2 linked regions of the Caenorhabditis elegans genome follow. The protein of the gene in region 1 purifies or fractionates together with the protein of each later gene. This does not show direct contact. Each region holds a gene or a part of one and is shown in the gene's direction. Other genes may lie near its edges.

Region 1 (5,148 bases):
TGAGCAGAAAGAGCAAGAGCAAGGTGTGGAAAAATATACCGAATGATGAAAACTGGCTGATTTTTAACATTGAAATGGTCGAGATCAAGCCATACACCCCAGAGATTCAGTTTAAATTTTTGGATTTGAATGAGGATGAACAGTTGACAAATAAAGAGGTTCAAGATTTCCAAAAGAAAATGAAAAAAGAATTTGGAAAGACATGGAAGAATGAGGATATTGACAATGTCACTGCTGCTGGTTATTATATCAAGTAGGTTATGCATATTTATTATTTGATGGATTCTCAAATTACTGGAGATTTTTATTTCAGAAACTTATTTTACATAGATAAATTAAAAACATTCCAGATATTTCGATGTGAATGGAGATGGAATTGTGACAGAAGTTGAATGGCTGAAAATTATGGATCGAGATGAGAAACTTATCAATGATAAGAAAACAAAAGAAAAGGGACGAAAGAGAGATCCTGGAATTGGATGGATTTTGGATTTTGATAATGACGGAATTGTTTCTTATAAGGTTTGTGGAGAACTGTTTTGCTTTAAAAAAAGTTTCAAATAAAAGATAATTTAATTTTCAGGAAAATGATGAAGCTGCTGATCGATTTGATGCAGGGCCAACACTTTTGCCAATGGAATCAAAGGATGAACTCTAATAAATTAAATTTCGTTTTGTTGACTAATAAAATAACTGTTTTGAAGTTGATATAATAGTTGTAGTAATTTTTTGTAGAGTCGGACCTTTACGGGAAAACCTTTTTGTAAATTTCTAACCCAAAAACATTCGATTCAAAGTTTTCCAATAACTATCATGAAAAGGAAGTAAATTCTATGAAAAAATATGAAGAAAAATAGAAATTGGAAATCAATCTGTAGTGCCTTGTCGTGTCTCAAAGTCTATGAAAAATTGATAAAAGTCTGTATGTGGTGTTTTAATTGTCTTGTTTATCAATAATTTTTCTGAACAATTTATTATTATTATTATGATTGAACCGGGCAAATTCCAACATTTCCCGTGCTTAATAAACTCCGAAAATTTTGATGTTATGTCTTTTGGATCACCAAAATCAGTTCCGTGTAGTAAAAAACGTAACAAAAACGTGTTTTCCCAATTTGAACATTTTTAGCTTGTTAAAAACTTGACTAAAAATGAAAATTCATTTCTTTCAAAACAAGGCTAATACATATGTAAGTCTCCAGAAACTGTTCGGTTTTGTGAACAATCTGGATTCATTTTGGCAAATCCTTTGCAACAATCATCCGAAGCTGAAGATCCCAGAAACAATCAGAATGGACACACATTCGATTCGGAAGTTGATGGAAATCTACTTTTAATGGCTTCTGGCACCTGAAAATGAAATATTAACTGAATTAAAACGGAAATAGGTATATTACACAGAACATTGGAAGCAAGTGGGATGCCACGTGGAATTCAGCGCCTCACAAAAGTTGGTCTTGATGAACTCGCCACAACCTGGATATTTATAGGGTTTCTGAAGTTTCGGAAGCTTTAGATACCTTTGCAAATAGGACGAGTCGTCTTGATATGGCACTCGGAGCACAGGATCACTCCATTCTGTGGAACACACCTGGAATTGATTAATGTAAAACTATTAATATTTAAATGAAATACCTCTCCCCGTCATTGATACGGCATTTGCACAGATCGCAAAGCAGATGATTCACGTGCCAGACCTGAAATTTGGGGTTAACTTGTGATTTAGATGGGTTAAACGGGCTAAACTTTCAAACCGAGAATAAAAAACTAGCTCCTTGTTCATATTTTGATGATTTCGAAATAAGAAAATCCGTTGTATTTTATTAAATTGAGAAGTGTAAATTACTTTTATGGTGCCAGATGATCAAATATATATAGTAAAACTTTTAACAAATGTTTGGAATTCGAGTCAATTTCGAGTCAAAAAATGCCAATTACTGAGCTTTTGTCACTTTTTGTGAAAATTATGGAGCTGTCGCATGCTCAAATTATTATTATTATTATAATAGTATGAAGAAAAACCTTTTTTTGAGCGACAACTTCCAAAAAAGTGACAAAAACTGTGTAACTAACACTTTTCGAAACAAAATAAAACTGTATTCAAAAGACTTATGAAAAGTCACACGACGGGAGTAGTTCCAACAATTTTCTAATTGGAGCTACTTCACCTTTGACTGTCAGCTTTCGAATAAAATTTCGAGAAAATCTTACTTTTCCATTTGCCAGAATAGCCGACTCCTCGCCAATTTTCACCGAGCAATGTCCACATTCGTTCATTTTGAAGTTTAAAAAACTCTAATTTTGTTGGAAATAAAATACATTTCAAATAATTGACTTTCTAAAAATTCCCCACGGCCACGTGTTCGGCCTTGATTGTGAAATGATAAACAAAGAAAAACTTCCAAGAAAAATTGAAAACCAATCAGTTTGAATTTCGCATTGCGAACAATTGCGTCGTCGGATAAGAACAGAAAAGTCTCGGCTCAAAAAAGATAACGAAATGGAAGATCGTAACATTACGGAGGAAGATCGCGTTTGCCCACAACTCCCTGAGTTTGATGAACAAGCGAATGTTCAAACGGATTTGAAGAAAATGAAACCGGTTCGTTCAGATGTTCAGGTTTTCTTTATTATGGTTTGAGAAATCGACGCTTTTTCTAGGGAGATGCAATTGGAAAGAATTGGAAAGTGGTGAAAGCAATTCAATCGGATAAAGGATTCAATACAATCTACGTGGCGGAGCATGTGCAAAAGAAGAAGAAGATGGCAGCCGTTAAGGTACGATGTTTCAGGTGTGCCTATCGGCGTGTCAATGTATGGTTTTTGGTGGTATGCCTGCCACATTTGATACGGTCTAGGTCCTCGTAGGACCTAGTCTAAGTGAAAATAAGGCGGTAGGCAGGCAAAGGAGTACGCAATTTCCCAACATTCTATAAGTTTCAATATTTCTGTAACACGAAAAAACTGCCAACCGAGTTTACAATTTTCAGGTTGAAAGAAAGACGGAGGCCATCAAGATGCTCCAATTCGAGCTTTTCGTCTTGTTGACAGTTGAGAAGAAAAACCAATGCAAACAATTTTGCAAGTAAGCTGGAGAGATTTCAAAAAAAGATTACAAAATCTTTTATTTTCAGACTGTTTGAGAAAGGAAATGAGAAGGAGTACAACTGGATTGCAATCACCCTTTGTGGAAAAAGTTTGAGGGTAGGTACATGACTAGAAGATTCTACATGGCAGGAATCCCGCCCTCGCCTCTCGCCGGCAAGTCTTACCAGTTGCACAGGGTATTGGCAACTAATGAAAAGAGCAAGAGACAGGTCATCAAGACCAATTGCACACAGGGAAGCGAAAGCGCCTGCTTTTCACCTCGACAGTATGCAAAGCCTATTTTTCAGGCTCTGCGCAAAAACCAGCCAACTGGAAAACTAACGGTTGCATGCGGATTGAGTGTTGCCCAACAATGCTTGAAAGGTCTTGAAGAGCTTCATCGAGTGAGAAATCTAACTTTAATTATTTCAACTTTCTTGATTTTCAGATGGGATTCATCCATCGCAACGTTGCTCCGTCCGTATTTGCAATTGGAAGATACACTGGTGACAATCAATCTGATTTAAGAAATGTAAACGCATAAACTTTTTTTTTCAAATTTCAAATTCAAATTCCTAATTTCAGATCTATATTCTCGACTTTGGATTTGCTCATCAGTACATGATTAAGGATGGAACACTGAAACCTCCGTCAGCTCATCCATGGAAATACGTGGGAAGTCTTCGTCATATGCCACGTGCCGCATATTCGAAAGTGGAATTCTCAAGAATGGAAGACTTGGAAATGTGGTTCTATATGAGTGTTGAGCTGGTTAAGGGATGTCTTCCGTGGGCTCATTTGAAGGTAAGACTTGTTGAGTAGAATATGGCTCCAAATGCAATCGAAGAATGTCTCTGAAAGTAACTTTGCATCAAAGAACGGCATCACTATACCCTTGGGCTTTTACGGGAGGCAGGCGGTTTCAGGCTTTGGCACATGACTGCCTGCCTGACGCCTGCCTGGAAATCCTCCTTTGCATATAACTTTGCACGGCGAAGTAGGTGTAAATGCATTTTTGACATATATCAAAGCCCTTCTCTATGTATCCTTTTCCAGAAACCAAAAGAAGTGCATGACTATCAAAAGTTGTGCCGAAATGGTCTTCAAATGCGTGAAATGCTCGGAGGTCTTCCACCAGAATTCGTCGACATTATGCAAATAGTAGGCAACTCCTTTGCAACTTTTCCCCTAACAATCCATTCTTTTTCAGGTTGACAAACTTTCATTCACCGACACTCCGAACTACACAGAAATCTACGGACTTCTCACCAACGCGATTCTCTTCAGTGGCAAAAATGTATGTCTTTCACACAATAAAAGTGTTATCATTTATCATAATTACAGGAATTCCCGTACGATTGGGAGGAGGCTGAGATCAACGAGTTCAAGAATCCGCAGAAGCCAAGTGTGGAGCAGGCAACCTAATAGCTCTCTTTCTATGGAAATAAATTGACTTTTTTGAATATTCAAAGTGTTTTTATATCTTATAACGTTATTCCATAAACTCCCAGTACAATACATCTACAGAACTAGAGAAAAGAGAGTTCAAAGATCAGAGATCAAACTACATATGAACAGAACGAAACTGCATTTTATATGTAGTTACATTGTAGTAAACGATATAATTTCATTTCAAAAGATGAGTTATCATATATTTAGGAATGACCCTTTTGTAGATCCCCTCCATCCCTGATACGGTAGCCTTAAAGTTTCGATCTTTTCGAGACCAGAGAACATTTTAGTGTGAGCGATTAAAATTTCACGAATACAAATAGAAATGTTCATTTTAATCTTTAAAATCACGAAATTGAAAGCAAGAAGACTATTAACCGGAATGCAGATAGAAAATGTACAGAAAATTCAAAGAATGTCGGCCAATTATGCATTTTCCTCTTCTTTCTTTTCCTGACTTGCACCTTCTTGTTTATTCGTAGCACCTTTCATTTGAACCGAAAATCCTCCATTTCCATTCGGGACCATCTCAAAACTGTCTGTCGAGAGCCCAAACGGCGATAGACAGAAATTTCCGAAACCCTTCAGTTTTTCCATCACATCGGCTTT
Region 2 (7,967 bases), on another chromosome or scaffold:
GAAGTTCGAGAAAATGTTTTTTTCTGCTCAATTTGGGAAAAATATCACTGTTTGTTCTCCGAAAAGAGGGAAAACTGAAGATTTCTAAATGTTGCTTTTCCGGAAATTGTCGTATCTGTGAGAGACGCAGACATATCTCACAGCACGTTGTGTGTAGGATGGAGTGCTGAGCCGTTGTTAGGAGAAATTGAATGATTTATGAGAAAGAGCAGCTGAATGTATCAGTCTCAAAAAATATCAGAATTTTTGTCTGTCTCGAAAGTAATATTTTCAACATTTCAGGCTAATGCTGGACCAAACACCAACGGATCTCAATTCTTCCTCTGCACCGTCAAGACCGAGTGGCTCGACGGAAAGCACGTCGTTTTCGGACGTGTCGTCGAAGGATTGGACGTCGTGAAGGCTGTCGAATCCAACGGATCCCAATCCGGAAAGCCAGTCAAGGACTGCATGATCGCTGACTGTGGACAACTCAAGGCATAAATTAATTGCACCCGAAATCTCCTTCATCTCTTGATTATATATTTTCAGTATTCAACTAATCCATATTTTTCTCATAAACCTCAGTTATCCCCGATTGTTCCTTTGAAGAAACCCAGGTCTCATTGAGAAAAAAAAAAGAAATCAGCTCAGACGTTGCGCATATTTCCATCTTCTGGCGAAAGGCGCGACGTTGGGTCCCGCCTTTTCAGGCGACATCACAATCCGATCGCCTCGGCCACTGCACAAGTCATCGATCACCGCTGAGGAGTTGAACCCGCGTCTGTTGTTTGAAGACGGCGCGCTTTACCACTGAACCACTCGGTCGCGAATAGTAGTGCGCCGTTGTGTACCTATAAAAGTGTGCGTAGGCAAGCAGAGAGGAATAATGAAGCGGAGAGTTTCAGAACCGGATTTCAGCTTTATCTAATACTTGAATCTACATGCAACATCCATTCAGATTTTAATTCAATCTTTAATGAATCGCATCTACTATTTATTGTCGCTTTTAATTTTTCTAAACACTATAAACTCTCTTTATCAATGGGGTAATTTTTAAAAGATTAAATTTTTTTGAATTGACATTAAAAATTTCTCAGAAAATCGGATTTTAAAATGTGAAAACGCCAACTGCTCTCTTCAAAAAACCGGCGAAGAATTTAAACCTGCAGTTTGTGAGAAAGGTCGTCTTTTTATTTGAATAAACTTTTGAAATCGCAAGAAAAATTCAGATTCTAACGGAAAAATCGCATGTGATATAGAATGTGATAAAGCTGATCGTGACAGTGTTATCTCAAAAAGGCCCACCGATTATCGATATTGCAATAGGTGATCCGATTAAATTAATGTTTACAGTAGTTTCAAAAATTCTATAAATTTAAGGTTTTACACATACAATGCTGAAAAGACTTCCGATGGAAAATATGTGATTTGGAGAAGTGGAAAATGTGCTGAAGCAAATATTACTTTATCTGTTCATTGTGCTTTTGCGGTGTATATGGTCTGAAATAAATAATTTTTCTGGATTTTATTGTATTACGGTACCCGAGAAAGTACGCAAGATGTAGACGTGGCACACCATTCGACGAGCAAATTGGAAAAATTAAATAAAATTGACGACGAGATATTGTATTAGTTCTAAACTCGATCAAGAACATTCTCTTTATTTCGAAATAAAATTACATATGTACTTTTTGGGCTAAAAATAAGTCTCGCCACGACACAGTTTTGTTAAATAACAAAGATGTGCGCCTTTAGAGGGTAATGTAATCTCAAAATTGTATTGTCCCTTTTCTTTAATCAACTTTTTAAAGTTTTCCAAGCGAATTAATAAACTCTATGAAAATTGGAAGGAAATTGCACAGCAAAAATTTAAATTGCAGTACTGTTTGAAGACGCACACTTTTTTGACGAAAACATGTCGTTTTGAGACCGGGCAACGTGATTACCTTATGCCTGCCTGCCTACTGCCTATTTGCTCTAAAACATGTACTTTGGATGTAGGCACGCGTGTAGGCATGAGGTCAGACATATGTACATATTTGTCCTATATTCATTCAAAGACACACTCGATTCATGTTCCCATCTGAAAACCAAAAATCAAATTATTCAAATACATACTATAAAAAATCAAAATACAATTAGTAACCTTTTCTACAACTCACTGGTGACATCACATAAACCTTGACATTTTCTTCTTCATACTGCTCCCCCAATCAAAGAATGCTATCAGTTATCAATCATATGCACCAAACACAAACATTCGTACAGCCAAATTCGCTGCGTCTCTCCTCAAACTCGTACTCTCTCGGGCGTCTGCTGACGACACGGAAAGCTGATTTGGTTGGAAACTGGCCTGGAAAGTGACAAAATTGTCACTTTCCTCCGCCAACATGGCAACGAAACCTACTGACATTTTGCGTGATGGTAAATTGATTTTCTTTAAATATGAGGAGGTGAGGATTTTACATTGTTGTAAAAAAATTACTCTTTGTCAATGGAGCGTATTTGGGTAATCAAAAATATTTAAAATTATGAAATTTTCAGAATTGGACAAGCCGAAATGCCGTTCGTCTTCATGTTGATCCAACACCTTATATTTTGTATTGGAGGTACAAGGATCCTAAAGTTTTCAATACAAAGGAGGTAGGTTGGTGCCCTTAAAACCCCCATAACTATAGAATAGGCGAAGCTGCGAAATAGATTTCAACTATAAAATATTATCCATATTTTTTGAACATTTTGTCAGTTGAAGAAAATTTTTCTTTTGACGGGGGAACGCCACGTGAGGCCATATTCAAATTTATTCAAAAAAATGTTTGAAAATTTGAGAGTTCAAGTTGTAAGTAGGAGGAAAGTTAGAGTAGAAATAAAAAGTAACAATAATCTATTTCTATATTTTATTTCATTTCTACACCTCTTATTTGTCAATTTTTCATATTAGAATACCAACTTTTCAGCTTGCTTACGAGAAGAACTACATTTATCTAGAACGAATCTATGACGTTCGTGCAGGAAAACCGACAGACTTTGAATTAGTGCCCAGCGAGAGAAGTTATGAGCCCAACTTTTTGACTATTGTCAGCGGGACAAGCATCACGAATCTAAAGTTCACTCATTTCGTGTGTATGGAGAAGAATGAGGTGATTTCGTTATACTTTAACCTAAATCCTTTGATTTGATTCAGAAACGCCTGCACGAGTTCGCCGCCACTCTATTTACTGTGGTACAGCGTGTCAAACGGGAAGAGCACGGACTTTTGTATCATTTTCGTAAAAAGTTGGCTCCGAAGATGTACGCGGCGTTTACTAGAAGGTGTATTGAAGAAGAGTAAGTTTTTTATACCGTAGTTGCAAGGTACACCTAACTGGACGCGAATTGCTGCATAGTAAAACGTTCATTATTTAATTGTAATGATGCTTCAAATAATTTTCGACGTTAATATCAATGTGCAGCGAGTTTTTCCCACGTCTATCATACTTTTGGTGGTATTGATCAACAGCTTTTTCATCCTCAACCGGAGGAATTGTGCAATCGAAGCTGTAAATCTTATTATTTAAATTAAGCAGTACTGCTAACTTTACCAGTCAAAAGTATGCGCATCCGTTGGTGTTCCAAGGAAAGCCACCAAGAGAGAAAGCAAGAAAATCGAATATAGAAAGTTTTTCATAGCAGAAACTGGATAGTTTTAAGCCTTTGCGTCTTTAAGAGCGAGTGTATGATTGAATTAGCAAAGCACATGGGAGCTTGATTTTTGATCATTGAAGTTTCAGTATTATGAAGGTTTTCGACAAGCATCGAAAAAACTCAACGAAAATTGAATGGACAGAGGTTGGAAAACTCCTTCCAGTGGTGAGTTAACATAATGCCTGCAAAACCATTACAGTCTCATTCAGAATCGAAAGTCTGTCGAGATAGACGATCAGAAGCTCATAAAGATCATTATGATACTTACCAAGTTTGAGGGTTCCAGGTTGGAAGCTATATTTCGAAAAATGTAAGATTCTTATTAATTGCAATTTACCTCACTAGGGAACCATCAGAAGGTGCCCATCGGACTTGCATAGGAGACCTATGCCATTTAATAGCCCATGTCTTAAAACGGTTACTCGCGAATTTTTAGCTGCGAATCTCCAGAACCAAGCTTAATGCGGGCTCTCAAAGATCCTACAATAGCACTGTAACGAAGCACTGTAACAATCAAAAGAAGCTATTTTCCATATTCACTTTGGTAGCTCATATCTCCGCGGATAAATTTTTAACAGAAAAGTCATCAACTGATAAGTTGTTGAACTTTTTGTAAAGAGCAAGTTTGTAGTTGAAAGTTTTCACCAAAAAAAATTCTGTTTCAGATAAAAGCATTAGAATAGCAATCGCAGCCTTAAAATAGTAGACAACAGTTGCCGCACTTCACGCGCTTTTATTTGAAACAACAATTTTTTTATTAAAAACTTTCAATTACAAACTTGTTCCTTACAAAAAGATCAACAACTTAAAATTTATCCGCGGAGATATGATCTACCAAAGTGAAGCTGCAAAATTGACCCTTCAATTTTTCGTTATAGTGCTATTTTCAGGATCTTTGAGAGCTTGCCGTGAGCTTAGTTCTGGAGATTCGCAGCTAAAAAATCACGAGTAACCGTTTTAGACATTGGTTTAAGACATGGGCTATCGAATAGCATAGGTCTCATATGCAAGTCCGTTGGGCACCTTCTGATGGTTTCCTAGTCAGTTTCATTTTCAGAAGCGAGGATGAACCTGTTGCCACAAAGTTAGAATTTGGCGATTGGCTTAGAAAAAATCAACACGATCATCGACTCAACGACGCTAGGTTCAATCAGGTGTCAGATAGGAAGATCAACTCGATTTTAGAAAACTGGCAGTATTCTAGCGGTTAGTCTAGCTACAATTGGAAGCTTCTTTTAAAAACGAGGCTAATTTCAGATTCCGCAATTTCACCTCAAATGTTCACACATTGGATGGTGTCCGATGAGTGCGGAGTTGCGATTTCGGCACAAAGAATGAAGATGGATGTGACTAGTATGAGAGAGCCGATCAACAAGTATTTCATTAATTCTTCACACAACACTTATTGTTCTGGTAGGTCATCAACTCACGCGGACTTTTTTTTTCAAATATCCGTTCAGGCAACCAACTGGTCTACGCAATTGGTCATTGCTCCGCTGACGTTGAGATGTATCGTCAGGCTCTTCTAAGTGGAAGTCGATGCGTTGAGCTAGATATGTGGGATAACAAGGACAAAGATGGAGAACCTGTGATAACTCATGGACCAACTGCAGTTATGGGAATGAACGAGATTGGATTGAAAGAAGTTTGCGAGGCGATCAAGGAATGTGCTTTTAAGACATCTCCCTATCCAGTGATTCTATCCATTGAGAATCACCTTGGCAGAAAACAACAAGAGAAGATGGTGCAGATCTTTCGTCAAGTATTCGGAGAGCTGCTGTTGACTGGCCCACTTCCAGACTACCCCCTTTACGCTAAAGAGGGGGCAGGCGACGTTGTGTATCCACCGCCGGAACTTTTGAAGCACAAGATTCTGATTAAAGCCAAGAAGAAAAGATTCGAGAAACAGGAGTCAAGAAGTCGCGATAGCTCGAGCATTGATCTACAGGGATCTTCAATCGATTTGACCGAAGATGAAGAAATGGAGAATGAACGATTCAATGAGCTCACTGAAGAACAAAAAGCCGCCCAGCTCAGCGAGCTACCAGAAGAAACAACATGCTCCGAGCTGTCCGCCATCACCAACTACATGCAAGCCTATGAGACCAGTCGTGGAGTTTCCACAGTTGTCAATCTAGAGAATGCTACAAAGGACATCGTTCCATGCATAGTATCTGCTGATGAGAATACCGTTTACAACTGTCTCCGTGCAAATTCCATTGATAAAGTCCAAAATCTTAACAAATCAAAGATCACAAGAATCTACCCGAAAGCCTCTCGCATCTATTCCACCAACTACAACCCGATGATTCACTGGCTAACCGGCTCGCAAATGGTTTCGTTAAATATTCAGACAAATTGTTCGAACATGCAACTGAACTACGCAATGTTTGAGAGAAATGGAGGTTGTGGGTATGTTTGAAAAATAGAAAAAAGGGCGTGAAGTTTGAGCTTGCAGATACGTGAGAAAACCTGATTGGCTCAGAGCACGGAATGTTCAGCTGAGGCCGTTCTTGTCGATTCCATTCACGATAGCGTATACGGTCGAGGTTGAGGTAAGCAAATTTTATTATCATAGATCTTCTCGGGGATTCTTTCAAGTTCTGAAGTTCACGAAAATCTCTTCCTTGAACTTTTTTCAGAGGGTTTCAACCCCAAATCTCAGTGAGAGCTGGTAAGAAAAAGATCAAGCTTATTACATTAGACAGACCTCTAGACATCTTTCAGTTTACACAATCTTTCTCAGATCATTGCCGCATACTTCCTCTCTTCAATGGATTCTGGCAAATTTCGTCGACGAAGTTCAGTTTCCATTCGCCTCTTTGACGTACCTGATCAGATATCCAAAGATGATGCCGCATCGCCATCAGTATCCACGGCTGCAAAATTCGAATCCAGCTGCCGACGGCGTACTCGAGAGGAGGCTTCGTTTGTCACTAACTATGAGCGTCATGTATACAGTTTCGACAAAATCATGTTGAATGACATGTCATTCATTCAATTCAATGTTCATAATGAGTCGGGTAGTGTATTTGCTCAACGAATACTTCATATTGATACTATGAATAATGGTGAGACAACCGCATAGTTCACTGATTTTCCTCAATATTTCCAGGATATCGCTTTGTGACACTTCGTACTCCATCTAATCAGTGTGCTGGGCCAGCATGCCTTTTAGTTAGATTTGATCTTTTTATGCATTCAGATAGGAAAAATTTACGTAAGTTCTTGTTTTAACAGGAGCCCTGAAACTGTAAATTGGATTCAGATGACTTGAAGCAAATGTACAATCCACACGCATTTGAAAAGGAGTCTGACAAATGGGAACGAAGATTCAGCAATCCATTTGCAGACCTGGACAAGTTTGATGTAAGATTTCCATACTTACAGATCAATATCAAAAGTTTGAATTTTAGGACAATGAGTTCCTTCTAGTAGAGGGAACACGCAGAGGATCAGTGGAGCATGCACCAACAACACCCACCACACCAACCAAGCCAATGTCTTTTGGGAAGGAGATTCTGGAAAAGATATCGTTTTGGAAGAAGAAGTAGAATCTAACATTTTTTGCACAAAAAATACGAGTTGCATAAATCTACCTGGAATACAAAGAAACAAGAAGTCGTATGCCCTTACATTAGCAGCAACTACAGTCAAGAAAAAAACAGTCATTAGAAAAAAAAGGCTTTTCGCAGGTTCTTATATACTTTCAAATGAGAATCTGAAAATCTGGAAACTATAGAAATAAAAATCAACCAAGAAGCTGTTGCTCATTATATTGTGCAAAAGTTTATTTATATTTCAAATCATTCAGGTCAAAAGAGGCAGCGGCCGTCATCTCAAAAGTCCAGTTTTGGCAGTTTTTTAAAGCATGTAAATTATTCACAAATATCATGACACAAAATAAAGCGGCCGGGATTTCGTGGCACCATTTTTGATCAGAAAAAAAGGATTCTTGGAACCCATCACATGTCTGCTGCTTTCACGAAGCGTCCAATATTTGCTACTTTTAAAACCCGTAATATGTCCGCCACTTTAAGGAATTCATTGAAATCTATTCTGAAAATTTAGCTGGTCTATTCATTGTCCAGATTTTTAATCAGTCGACATTTTCAAGCCGCAAATTTTCAGTCAGATCAAAACGTTTATGTGAACCAAAACTCGTAAACATGTAATTTACGTCTAACAATTTTTCTCCTGCCTATGTATTCTACTTTACTCTCCAGTTAAAAATCGAGATGAAAGATGTATGGCCGGATGCGGCTTCCGCGTTCTATTTTGACTACCATGCTCGTCTTGTA

What was found.
Region 2: the proteins of C34B2.3 (region 1) and plc-2 fractionate together in Caenorhabditis elegans (co-fractionation; one large-scale study listed by BioGRID). This does not show direct contact.

The regions. Positions count from the first base shown.
Region 1 is NC_003279.8:10,670,313-10,675,460, forward strand, and holds C34B2.3 (Protein kinase domain-containing protein), read left to right. Parts: upstream 1-2,424; 5' UTR 2,425-2,500; coding exon 2,501-2,602; intron 2,603-2,661; coding exon 2,662-2,778; intron 2,779-2,990; coding exon 2,991-3,085; intron 3,086-3,134; coding exon 3,135-3,204; intron 3,205-3,395; coding exon 3,396-3,491; intron 3,492-3,535; coding exon 3,536-3,619; intron 3,620-3,672; coding exon 3,673-3,891; intron 3,892-3,970; exon of another isoform or gene 3,971-4,102; intron 4,103-4,143; coding exon 4,144-4,248; exon of another isoform or gene 4,249-4,297; coding exon 4,298-4,384; intron 4,385-4,431; coding exon 4,432-4,512; 3' UTR 4,513-4,552; downstream 4,553-5,148. Other genes in the region: fkb-7 (peptidylprolyl isomerase), read left to right, coding at 1-253, 351-522, 584-658; C34B2.4 (LIM zinc-binding domain-containing protein), read right to left, coding at 1,233-1,350, 1,398-1,476, 1,521-1,591, 1,636-1,697, 2,212-2,277; ttc-1 (TPR_REGION domain-containing protein), read right to left, coding at 4,966-5,148.
Region 2 is NC_003283.11:15,190,351-15,198,317, forward strand, and holds plc-2 (Phosphoinositide phospholipase C), read left to right. Parts: upstream 1-2,221; 5' UTR 2,222-2,372; coding exon 2,373-2,435; intron 2,436-2,526; coding exon 2,527-2,625; intron 2,626-2,939; coding exon 2,940-3,122; intron 3,123-3,166; coding exon 3,167-3,309; intron 3,310-3,370; exon of another isoform or gene 3,371-3,383; coding exon of another isoform or gene 3,384-3,519; intron 3,520-3,563; coding exon of another isoform or gene 3,564-3,649; exon of another isoform or gene 3,650-3,659; intron 3,660-3,752; coding exon 3,753-3,831; intron 3,832-3,875; coding exon 3,876-3,976; intron 3,977-4,723; coding exon 4,724-4,872; intron 4,873-4,923; coding exon 4,924-5,079; intron 5,080-5,126; coding exon 5,127-6,078; intron 6,079-6,124; coding exon 6,125-6,221; intron 6,222-6,412; coding exon 6,413-6,737; intron 6,738-6,781; coding exon 6,782-6,886; intron 6,887-6,934; coding exon 6,935-7,035; intron 7,036-7,082; coding exon 7,083-7,220; 3' UTR 7,221-7,274; downstream 7,275-7,967. Other genes in the region: cyn-3 (Peptidyl-prolyl cis-trans isomerase 3), read left to right, coding at 283-483; Y75B12B.11 (DUF7808 domain-containing protein), read left to right, coding at 959-1,028, 1,080-1,163, 1,212-1,308, 1,363-1,486; Y75B12B.13 (uncharacterized protein), read right to left, coding at 3,384-3,519, 3,564-3,649; srw-1 (G-protein coupled receptors family 1 profile domain-containing protein), read left to right, coding at 7,905-7,967.